Caenorhabditis elegans: one gene and its partner. Each later gene encodes a partner of the first gene's protein in a complex. Each region holds a gene or a part of one and is shown on either strand. Other genes may lie near its edges.

Region 1 (4,843 bases):
TCTACTGCAGCTGGTGTACTTCGAGATACGACTGGAGGAACTGAAAGACATGAAAAGTTGATTTATTAAATTTTGTTATCAATGGACACATTTGAAACTCAAAATATGTAATCAAAAACCGTTAAAAAAATGTTCAATTATCGGACATACCTCTATTTGGTGCAACACAATTAAAGATGCAGTAGTATGCTTTATATTCAAGTTTTCACTCAAATCCCCATCATAGATGCTGTGCAGTCAGATAGTTATTGAAATCTTTTTATTATTTACATATTTCTACATTTCGAAAAAGTATCAAATTTCATGTGTACTTCTCCCCCTCCCTCCATGTTAAGCAGAAAAACACTAAAACTCTTCACAGAAACAAGGTTCATAATTAAAAACCAAACATTTCGAAACATCCATTATAATAAATCCATTGTTTCTAAAGGTAATTCAAGTTCAAACTTCCTTCAAGGCAATTACCTAAAATGTTTTGGTTAAACATTAAGGTATCCGCCAATGTCTTTCCATTTGGAGGTTCCCCCTATTGTATTCAGAAGCTTGTCTTCAATACTTGTCACCACCCTTTAATTACCCTTTGTGACTTCCGTTTCCCTTAGGAGCCAATAATTAAAAAGGTGTCCCTCTCCATATGTTCTTAGCTTCTCCCTTATAGAATAAAGGCTAATGTCAGTTTAGAATAAGGTCGGCAAAAAAGTGTGACCGTTCTTCAACGTAATATGTTAAAAATTTAGAAGTTCCCCGATTCGAACAAAACATTTTTTATCTCAAAAAATATCTAAAGTAAGAGCACAAAAAATTGTGTGAAGAAGGGGGAAACGGAGTCTCATTTGCATACAAATCTATTTTCACACTTGCTTCGCACTATCTCGGGTTGGGAAAGCAAACGGATTAGGATTTAGTAAGGAATGGATGAATAGAATGAGTAGTAGTAATAGTGATTTCAATTTAAATTTCGAATTTTTGTTTTTAAGAACGATTAATTCTGCAAAATGGAATACCTTTCACATCAAGTTCTCCGGTTGAAAGTGTAATTGGTTCAGTGTTGATTTGACAAGAATAATTTCCACGATCTGATTCCTGAAATTTATGAGAATTTTCTAAAACCGACACTTAAATCTCCGAACCTGAACATTTTTAATAGTGAGGACCCATTCATTGTGTAGATCTCCGATTCGCGGCTTCAATTCGTACTTGTTGCGTCGTCGAAACACTTTTTCGTCGAACGAGAGCAGCCGTGGTGGTGAGTCCGCTTTGACAAATGCTACCTATAATGGATCGGTTTTCGTGTGAGACGATGTTCTTTAGATGGGAGAAAGAATATAACAAACCATATGACTTCCAAGATCATTTACGATACACGTAAAATCAACATCTTGTCCAAGAAGAGCAACTGCACTAGACATTGATGGTTGTTGAATTGTTGGGGGAGCACCACGTGAACATGCTGAAAACTAATTTATAGACCATCTAGAGAGTAGAATGCACTTAGAACTATAATTAAACTATTTTTATGGATTGGAGCCGACTAAAGATCCAAATAAAATACTTGTTCGAATGTTTCGAAGTTTGGCCAAAATATCAGCAAATTGCCGAATTGGAAACAAATTAAGATTTTTGAGAAATTCAAAATGTTCTTGCATGTCCAACTTCTACAATTTCTAAGTAGCAATAATTGCAACGCATAAAAAATACAATTTCTCTTCACTCGCCCTAGTGGCTGTCGTTTTTTTTTGGTTTTCAACAGATTATTTATGATTTGCGTTATATTTTTGTGATTTTTCTATTTAATTGTACACACTTTGCGGTCTTTTTGAGGGTTCTGCTCTGTGAAATATCTGCTTTAAGAATATATTGAACGCCAAAATACTAGTTTTTATATGACTACCTGTCCGAATTAAAACACTGGCTAGTAATAATCCAATTGGAATTGTTTTTATTTTCACATAGAACAAACTTTTTGGATTATCCCACAGATGTTTAGTGGCTAGCATTTCTGCGATTCGAAATTTCCCAGTACAAAACAAGTATTCAGGAATTTCATAGACTACTGACTCTCACAGGTATCATTTCTTTATATTCGTCTTATTTTTGTTTTTTGCCCCTTTTCACCAATAAATTTTGAATCATTCATCATCGTTTAGCTGGAGAGGTCTTCCGATTTTGTGTCATCTATTTTAGAGACATAAAATAAAAACACGGGAGCAAATATGTTTCGGACTTTGACAAAAATTCTTATAGACAGGATATGAAAGTATGAATAATTGTCTGTCACTATAAGCTATAAGCTATAAGCTATAAGCTATAAACTATGAGTTTTTTCAAGGATTTTTCGAATAACAGTTTTATATGAGGTTTCACATGAATGAGGTCTTTTTCTACATGAAATTGCACTACAGAATATATGACGTCACGACGCACTGACTCTCCTCTCGCCCAGAGAACACCTCCAAAAAATTTGATAGATGAAAAATAAATTAGAAGAAAAGCACTGAAATAAATTACAAAAGTTCAACATACATTTTAAAAATGTAACAAAAAATGTCCGTTCTCGGAATGTCGCGAGGAAGGCGACTGAAAGGCGGGTGGACCGCGCCTCCGGTATTTTGACACTGGAAGGGAAACGTTTTCAGAGTTTAAATAAGAAAGGTACCCTGTGGTCAAACATATTCAAAGTGCTGACTATTACATAAACCTCCAAATTACTCACCATCAAAAAGGTGACACAAAATAGTAGGCAAAACTAAAATCGAGGAAGATGTCGGTGGAGTTCCATCGACAAGCATGATGGTCAATCAGAAAGTAAAATGAAAAACTTTTTGGGAATTCAGTGAGTCTCTTGGATTCTTAGAGCTGCCTTTCTTCGTTACAGCTCATTGTTAACTAATAATATCCCCTCCGCGCGAGAGTTTGATTCCAAATTTAATTTTCTAAATCTTCTATATCGAAACTCTTCTCCCCCTTTTCCTCTGGCAACAACAAAAAATGTAGAAAACTTACCCTGTTTAAAAACTAACAATACACCACAAAGAAGTGCGAATAGATACATTTTCTCTTGAAGGGGGATATGAAATAAAATGACAAAGCGACCTCTTCCTCTGAAGGTAGGTGCTCCCGAGAGGGCGGAGTCACGGGCGGTCCATTTTCCGAAAAGAAGACACAGATGGAGTCGGGAGAAATAAGGGAAGAGGGTGGAAGAGAAAAAAGAAAAAGAAGAAGACACACACATTTTATTCCTGTTTTCCGGTTAGACAAACCATGGGTAATAGCGACGATTGAGCAATGAAGAGAGCAAAAAAACTTTTTTAAAGTTGTTTTTATTGAGCGAACTAACTCATGTAAGTGAGCAATTCTGATTGTAAGACAATTATTCCAATATGATCTATAGAACATTCCAATATCCTTTTTTATCGACACATCAAACGGATACTCTAACTACTTTCAATTATCAATCCGTTGATTTCTGCAGTTAACCTAATAATAAAGTCACTTGAGAAATCAAAAATGAATTACGTACATCACCAATACAGTACAATTACAGCACAGTTTTGCAATCAGATATCCAATAAATTAATTATTTATCAAAATAAATTGTCTTCTGGAAAAAGTGAATGATCTGACGTATTTATTGGAAATGTACAAGTAATTGATCTTCTATTTTTTCTTCTTGTCAGCTCCGAACACATCTCCGCCAACAACTGCCAATGTCTGGTAGTTTGGATCCATGGTTGCTGCCTTTTGACCCTAAAAACAATAAATAATACAATATTGCAAGAAAATTAAAAATCTACCTTATTATTCGGTTGAATTGGTTTCTTTCCTCCAGGTGCACCAGCTCCTCCAACCTTCTTATCAGCTCCAAAAACATCTCCGCCAACTGCTGCCAATGTCTGATAATTTGGATCCAATGTAGCAGCTTTTTGATTCTAGAATTCAAAAATTAAAATCAAAAATCTTGAAAAAAAAAATGCAACTTTGTTCATTGGCTGAAGTGGTTTCTTTCCTCCGGCAGGTGCTCCACCAGCTCCTCCACCATCCTTTTTATCAAAAACATTGTTATTAAGACCAGCCAGCGTTTGGTAGTTTGGATCATGTGTTGCTGCTTTTGCACCGATATTTGCAGGAGCTTTTGGTCCACCAGGTGTTGCAGCAGGAGCACCTCCACCATCCTTCTTATCAAAAACATTATTATTCAATCCAGCCAATGTCTGATAATTCGGATCGTGAGTAGCTGCTTTTGCATTCTGATCAGCTGGAGCAGCTGGACCTCCACCACCTGCAGCTGGAGCAGCACCATCCTTCTTTCCAAATACGTTGTTATTCAATCCAGCCAATGTTTGATAGTTCGGGTCGTGGGTTGCTGCCATTCCGGGTTTTGCATTTGCTGGTGGAGCTGGTCCTACACCTCCTGCTCCGCCATCTTTCTTTTCGAAAACATTGTCGTTGAGTCCAGCAAGTGTTTGGTAATTTGGATCGTGCGTGGCTGAAAGTTACGAGTTTATTGATTTCAACATTTATCGAATAGACATGATTGAATGCTGTCAAATACTTACCCGCCATTGTAGGTTTTGCATTTGGAGCAGCAGGAGCTGGTGGGGCATCTTTTGATGCTGGAGTCGGTGAGCTTTCGCCCTTATCACTTTTTCCAGTTTTTCCACTTTTTGTGCTTGCTTCCGAGTTTTCCAACTTGCTACCGCCTTTCTTTTTCTGAAAATTATTCTCATTTCCAAATCATTTCCAAATTCCAAATTTCCAAAAAATCAAATCCAAATTTCCAAAATTTCGAATAAAATACCTTTCCGCACAAGAACAGAACCTGAATTGTTGCACACGAAGTGAA
Region 2 (5,094 bases), on another chromosome or scaffold:
AATATAAAATTCGGAAGAAAACATTATTTTTATATCGACAACTTCCAAAAAATGGCAAAAACTTTTTTTTCAATTTTTTTTTAACTTTGGCAAATTTTTCTAATTTTCGAAAAATCATATAAAATTTAGAATTTTTTTTGAAATTTTTCCGCTATGATATTTGGTAATTTTGATGATTTCAATTTTTTTGTCTGTATTCACGTGGTGTCAGGCTTTCTCATTGCGGTTTCATCTACAAAAAGTGCGGGGAACTTTTTGCCCAAAAAAATGTGACGTCAGCACGTTTTTAACCATGCGAAATCAGTTGAAAAGTCTGCGTCTGTTCTCCCGCATTTTTTGTAGATCTAAGTAGATCAAGCCGAAATGAGACCCTCTGACACCACGTGTGTATTCAAAAATTGGGGGGGGGGGGGGAAATTAGTTTTCAGACCAATCATAGAAGTCAATCCAAAAAAAAACATTTTTTTTCCGATTTCTTTAAAACATGCTCGAAATTATTGAAAAAAAACCAGATTTTGAGATATTTTGGCAATTTACCAAAACTTTTCCTGAAACTTTTTGGAATTTTTTATTATGATATTCGGCTATGTTGAACTATTGTAAGTGCCTCTAAAATATATTCTACTTCTCTAAAACTCGATTTAAAAAGTACTAGACCTTATGACCTCCCCTCTGTACAACACAACATGACACCATCCTTGCTAAGTCCCCCCCCGCGTGTGGTAAGTTTCTTGGGATGTCTGCTCAAATTTTGTCATATTTCAAAGGGCTTTCAGGTTGTTTTGCCGCCCCGAAATGAGGCCATTAACCTGACCTCCCAGATGAAGAGAGAAATAGAGAGAATCAATTTGAAAATGATAAATGTTCTGTGGAGGATTTTTTGAAAGTTTTCGAACTTTCAGATTTTTTTAAAGGTGCGAAACCCCTAGAAACTGGGATTGTCAATGATTTTTTTTAGGTATTTTGAACTTTTTAATCATTTTTTGAAAATTTCAAAAAATGTTGTATTGTTCGAAATTGTTTAGGCACTTCAGCAAGTCACTAAACATGTCTATTTTTGATTTTTTAAATATTTTTAAACACAATACTAATTTATTTTCGGTTTTTTTATGTGGCTTATCCTAGATGGACAATTTTTCAGTTGGGCTGCCAGATTTTTGGCTTGAATAATAGCGAAAAAAATTAAAATTTTGTAATGCCAATATTGGCATTGTTAATGATTTGCAAAAGATTCAGAAAAAATTAGAATTTTTTTTTTGAAAATCTGAAGAAACTTTTGTTTCAGATTTTTCAAAAAAAAACTACTTTTTTTAACGTTTAAAAATTTTTTCATTATAATAAAACACTGCAATAACAACATTAAAATCGAAAAAAACACAGTTTTAGTGGAAATTTCAAAAATTCTATATTTAAAATGTTTTTGAAATTTTTCAGAAAATTACAAAAAAATTACTGGCAAGTAGTTAAAAATTATATTTTTAAGCACAGAAAACACCGAAAAGATTAAGATTAAGTCTGAAAGTGTTAAAATGGTTAATATTAACATTGTTAATCATTTGCCAAAGTTTTAGAAAAAATTTAAAAAAATGTTTTTTTTTGAAAATCTGAAAAATTTTTTTAAAAGTTCAAATTGCTCCTTTGCTGCTAATTTTTTTAGGAGCCTATTCAACAGGATAGTTCGAAAATGACATAGCTTGCAATGAAGTTCAATGTGATTTTTTTTTTGCAATTTTACCCAAAAAAAAGAGTTATCTTCTCAATTTTTATGAGATTTTTGCCACTTGTTCAGGCCCCACGATATATCCCAGCCGGAGAGATGTCTCTCAGGTAGAAATGGGGGACTCTCGGAGCCACGTGAAAACAACAAAGTGGCTCTTCCTCTTTCCGCTCGATTTGCTACAACTAAAACTAAAACAAAAAGTTTTCGGCCACCACCACCTGCCCTTTTTACACGCCTCGTTTCGGGAGGCTAAAGCCTGCATAATTGACACGTTTCGGAAAAGGAGCCCTTAAGCTCGGCGAGCTGGTAGTTTATTCTATATAAGTAAACTTTGAGGGAGGGCTCCGTCGAGCTCCAAGGGGCAGATGGATTGAGAATGGGATTAGTTGAGAAGAGGTAATGCGAGGATTCAAGTCAAGTGGTTGTGATCCACTTGTAAACTGAATTTCGTTTGAATTTATATATTTCTTGTTTATTTTTGAATTCAAAAATGTAAAAAGCTGATCATTTTCCAATAAAACTTCGATTTTTCGAAATCGAAGTGTGCAATCGCGCTCCAACGACAAATAAAAACCACAATAAGGGCACAGAGCGAACGGATTTCTGGCTTCCCTCCTAAATTGAAATGGAAGAGTTTGCCGAACTAGGCCATTTTTGCTCGGCCATATCTGATGTAGATTTCCGGCGCGTTGCGTGTCGCGTCGCGGCTCGCTTGTAAAACTAAATGTATTTGTCAGTGTGGAGTACACGACTTTCCCACGCGTTGTCCGACTTGTCAATGGGGCGCGAAAAGTGCAATGAGGAAGGCCAGAACTCCTTGTGAGAGCGGTTTCTACTACGTGGCTGCAAAATCAGAAAACTCGGCCACGCTTATAAAATGAATAAGGAGCATTTATTCGAACGTTGTACACTCGCTCTGTGAGGGTTTTTGAAATCAAAATGTGCAATCGCGCTCCAACACCAATAGGTCTCGTTAGGTATTTGACGGCAAAACCGGAAATTCAAAAAATTTTCTAGAATTTTTCGTTGTTTCTAGTGTTTTTTTTTTAAATTTCCAATTGATTTAACATGTTACATGTTAAACATGTTAAAAACATGTTAAAAAAAAATTTTGACACAAAAAACGCTGAAAATTCTGAATTTACAGTTTTGCCGCCAATACCTAACGAGACCCCATTAGCGCTGGAGCACGATTGCACTTCAGGGTTTGAAAACCGCGCGAAAATCGGTGGCCGAGTTTTCTAAAATCCAGGGAACTTGTGGCCTAAAAATTCCATTTTAAAAGCCACCAATTTTTCGGCGGCCACGTTAAAAATCCGAGAAAAAAAACAAACCTGTCGCATAAAGAAACGAGAATAATATCACACAAATGTTCGAAAACCTTCGCATTTTTAAAAAAGTCAACCTCCGTCGGCGGTGTCCAAATGTCCCAAAAAGTGGGCGTGGTCTGTATGTCTGCAGCAGAGTGCGCGAGAATTGGGCGGGACATCCGGGAGTTGTGTGTTGGTGAGAGAGAGAGAGGAGAGACGCAGACAGTGAAAACAAATAATTAATTAATCTTCTCTTGTTTTAATGTATACCAACATTTAGACGGCTCATTTTTTTTCGGAAAAAGAAAACACGAAAATCACAAAAATAAATACCAAATAATTCAAAGCATTGGATGAACAAAGAAGAGGAAATGATAATATTACTGTCTATTACACAGACGCGAAAAATATTGGCAGTTTTCGCGTGTATGCGCCTTTAAAGAGTACTGTAGTTTCAAAATTTCATGGCCGCGTTTGTTAAAGAATTTATGGGTTTTTTGAATATATTTAAATTTTTAAATAAATTTAAAACTAAAATATGAGAAAAACGTTGAAAAATCGATTTAAAAAATCCAAAGCAATACTTTTGAGATTACAGTACTCTTTGTCGTGTCGAGACCGGACGCAAAAATTGCCAAAAAAATTTAGCCGCGTCTGAGTAACATGAAAATCCTCCGAATATGGGTAATTCAAAATTAAAAGAATTTAGTTTTTCCAATAATTTTTAAACCAAAAAATCCAGATTTTCGAATTAAATACTCGGAAAATTTTCACATTTTCTCGCACAAAGTGGTATAGAGAGAGGGAAAAAAGACATAGAAATTCAAAAAAAAGATAAAAAACAAGCAAAGTACCAGTGATAAAGCGATAATCGTTTTTTGGATCAATGGAGTAGAGGGGGGGGGGGGGGTCGTTGTATTTAATGAGAAGCATCGGATTCGTTTTTTGAAAAATGCACAAGTTAACAATAAAACAGAGAGAGAGAGAGATTTGGGAAAAAAAAATTCAAAAAGCAACAGGAAAAGAGAATACAAAGAAAAATGATCAAAAAACAGAATTTTCAAAAAAAAAAAACCAAAATTTCAATTAATAAATATAAATGCCTAGATATGTACTTTTGTATGAGGAGAGGTGGGGCTCTGCAGAGTTGATGACGTCACACTGGTTGTTGTTGATTTCGCGCCAAAATATCGGCTAACCGTACGGCGTCCGTGAATCCACGTGGCTTTGATGATGCACCGTTGAGGATCACTGATGACGCGGTGGTGGTCTCGGCGGAAGGTGCTGTAAGACTCATGAGGGGATTAGGAGGAACGGTTAGGAGGAAATGAATTTAGACATTTTATTAGACCATTCAATTGAAATTTAATTCTAAACTTTTACAATTTCAATATTATTAAACATTCCTAAATAATTGTACATGACAGAAAATAGCCGCAAAATTTGAATTTTGCGTTTTTTTAATCATTTAAAACACAAATTTTCGTTACAAAAAATCCAAAAAAATTGCCAGATGTCGGCAAATTTGTCAAATTGTGTTTTAAATTAAAAATCACAACAAAAAAATTTAAAAAATCTATCAATATAGCTGAAAAACTAAAAAAAAATATCGAAACTATGTCTTTGTATGCGTTGGATTTCAAAAAAATCCCGAATTTTTTTTCGACAATTTTGGTGAAATTTTATAGAAAATCAATCAATCGATCTGTAAATTTTGCAAAAAAAAAATCGGCGTCGCACAGAAATAGAGGCGAGGCGTAATTTTGCAACCGTGCGGCGCGGTTTTTTCTGCTGATTTTTTCCATTAAAGGTGGAGTAGCGCCAGTGGGGAAATTGCTTTAAAACATGCCTATGGGTACCACAATGACCGAATATCATAGTAAAAAACTTCAAAAAATTTTCTAAATTTTATATGATTTTTTGAAAATTGAAAAAATCTCGAATTGCATCAAATTCCTATTTGAATTACCGCCAATTGTTCGATGTTCGATGGAGCGCGCTTGCATTATTTTAACTTTTATTTATCAATTTTTATTATTTTTGATTGATTGTTCATGTTTATCT

What was found.
Region 2: the proteins of rig-5 (region 1) and zig-8 are in contact, whole or in part, in a crystal structure (PDB 6ON9), measured with the Caenorhabditis elegans proteins. Residues at the interface, in NP_001251129.1 of Caenorhabditis elegans: Ser113, His114, Met115, Val116, Ala117, Ser123, Pro124, Pro125, Arg126, Leu127, Phe130, Asp131, Lys133, Phe135, Arg136, Gln172, Asn174, Glu176, Ile178, Leu180; in NP_499714.1 of Caenorhabditis elegans: Gln32, Arg34, Glu66, Ile67, Ala68, Thr70, Asp74, Gly75, Ala76, Leu77, Ala80, Gly81, Arg83, Phe85, Arg87, Asp88, Leu117, Glu119, Ile120, Asn121, Asn125, Val127.

The regions. Positions count from the first base shown.
Region 1 is NC_003279.8:9,571,146-9,575,988, forward strand, and holds the start of rig-5 (Ig-like domain-containing protein), read right to left. Parts: upstream 3,233-4,843; coding exon 3,004-3,232; intron 2,790-3,003; coding exon of another isoform or gene 2,714-2,789; intron 1,451-2,713; coding exon 1,335-1,450; intron 1,272-1,334; coding exon 1,131-1,271; intron 1,084-1,130; coding exon 1,005-1,083; intron 950-1,004; exon of another isoform or gene 776-949; intron 41-775; coding exon 1-40. Other genes in the region: C36F7.5 (DUF236 domain-containing protein), read right to left, coding at 3,658-3,747, 3,795-3,929, 3,978-4,486, 4,557-4,710, 4,799-4,843.
Region 2 is NC_003281.10:13,117,874-13,122,967, reverse strand, and holds the start of zig-8 (Zwei Ig domain protein zig-8), read right to left. Parts: upstream 3,149-5,094; 5' UTR 3,110-3,148; coding exon 3,055-3,109; intron 1-3,054. Other genes in the region: dhhc-8 (Palmitoyltransferase), read right to left, coding at 4,279-4,322. UniProt on the Caenorhabditis elegans protein: Together with zig-5, required postembryonically to maintain the position of ASI and ASH head neuron cell bodies and ventral nerve cord axons of PVQ, PVP and HSN neurons by preventing their displacement that could occur during body growth and movement.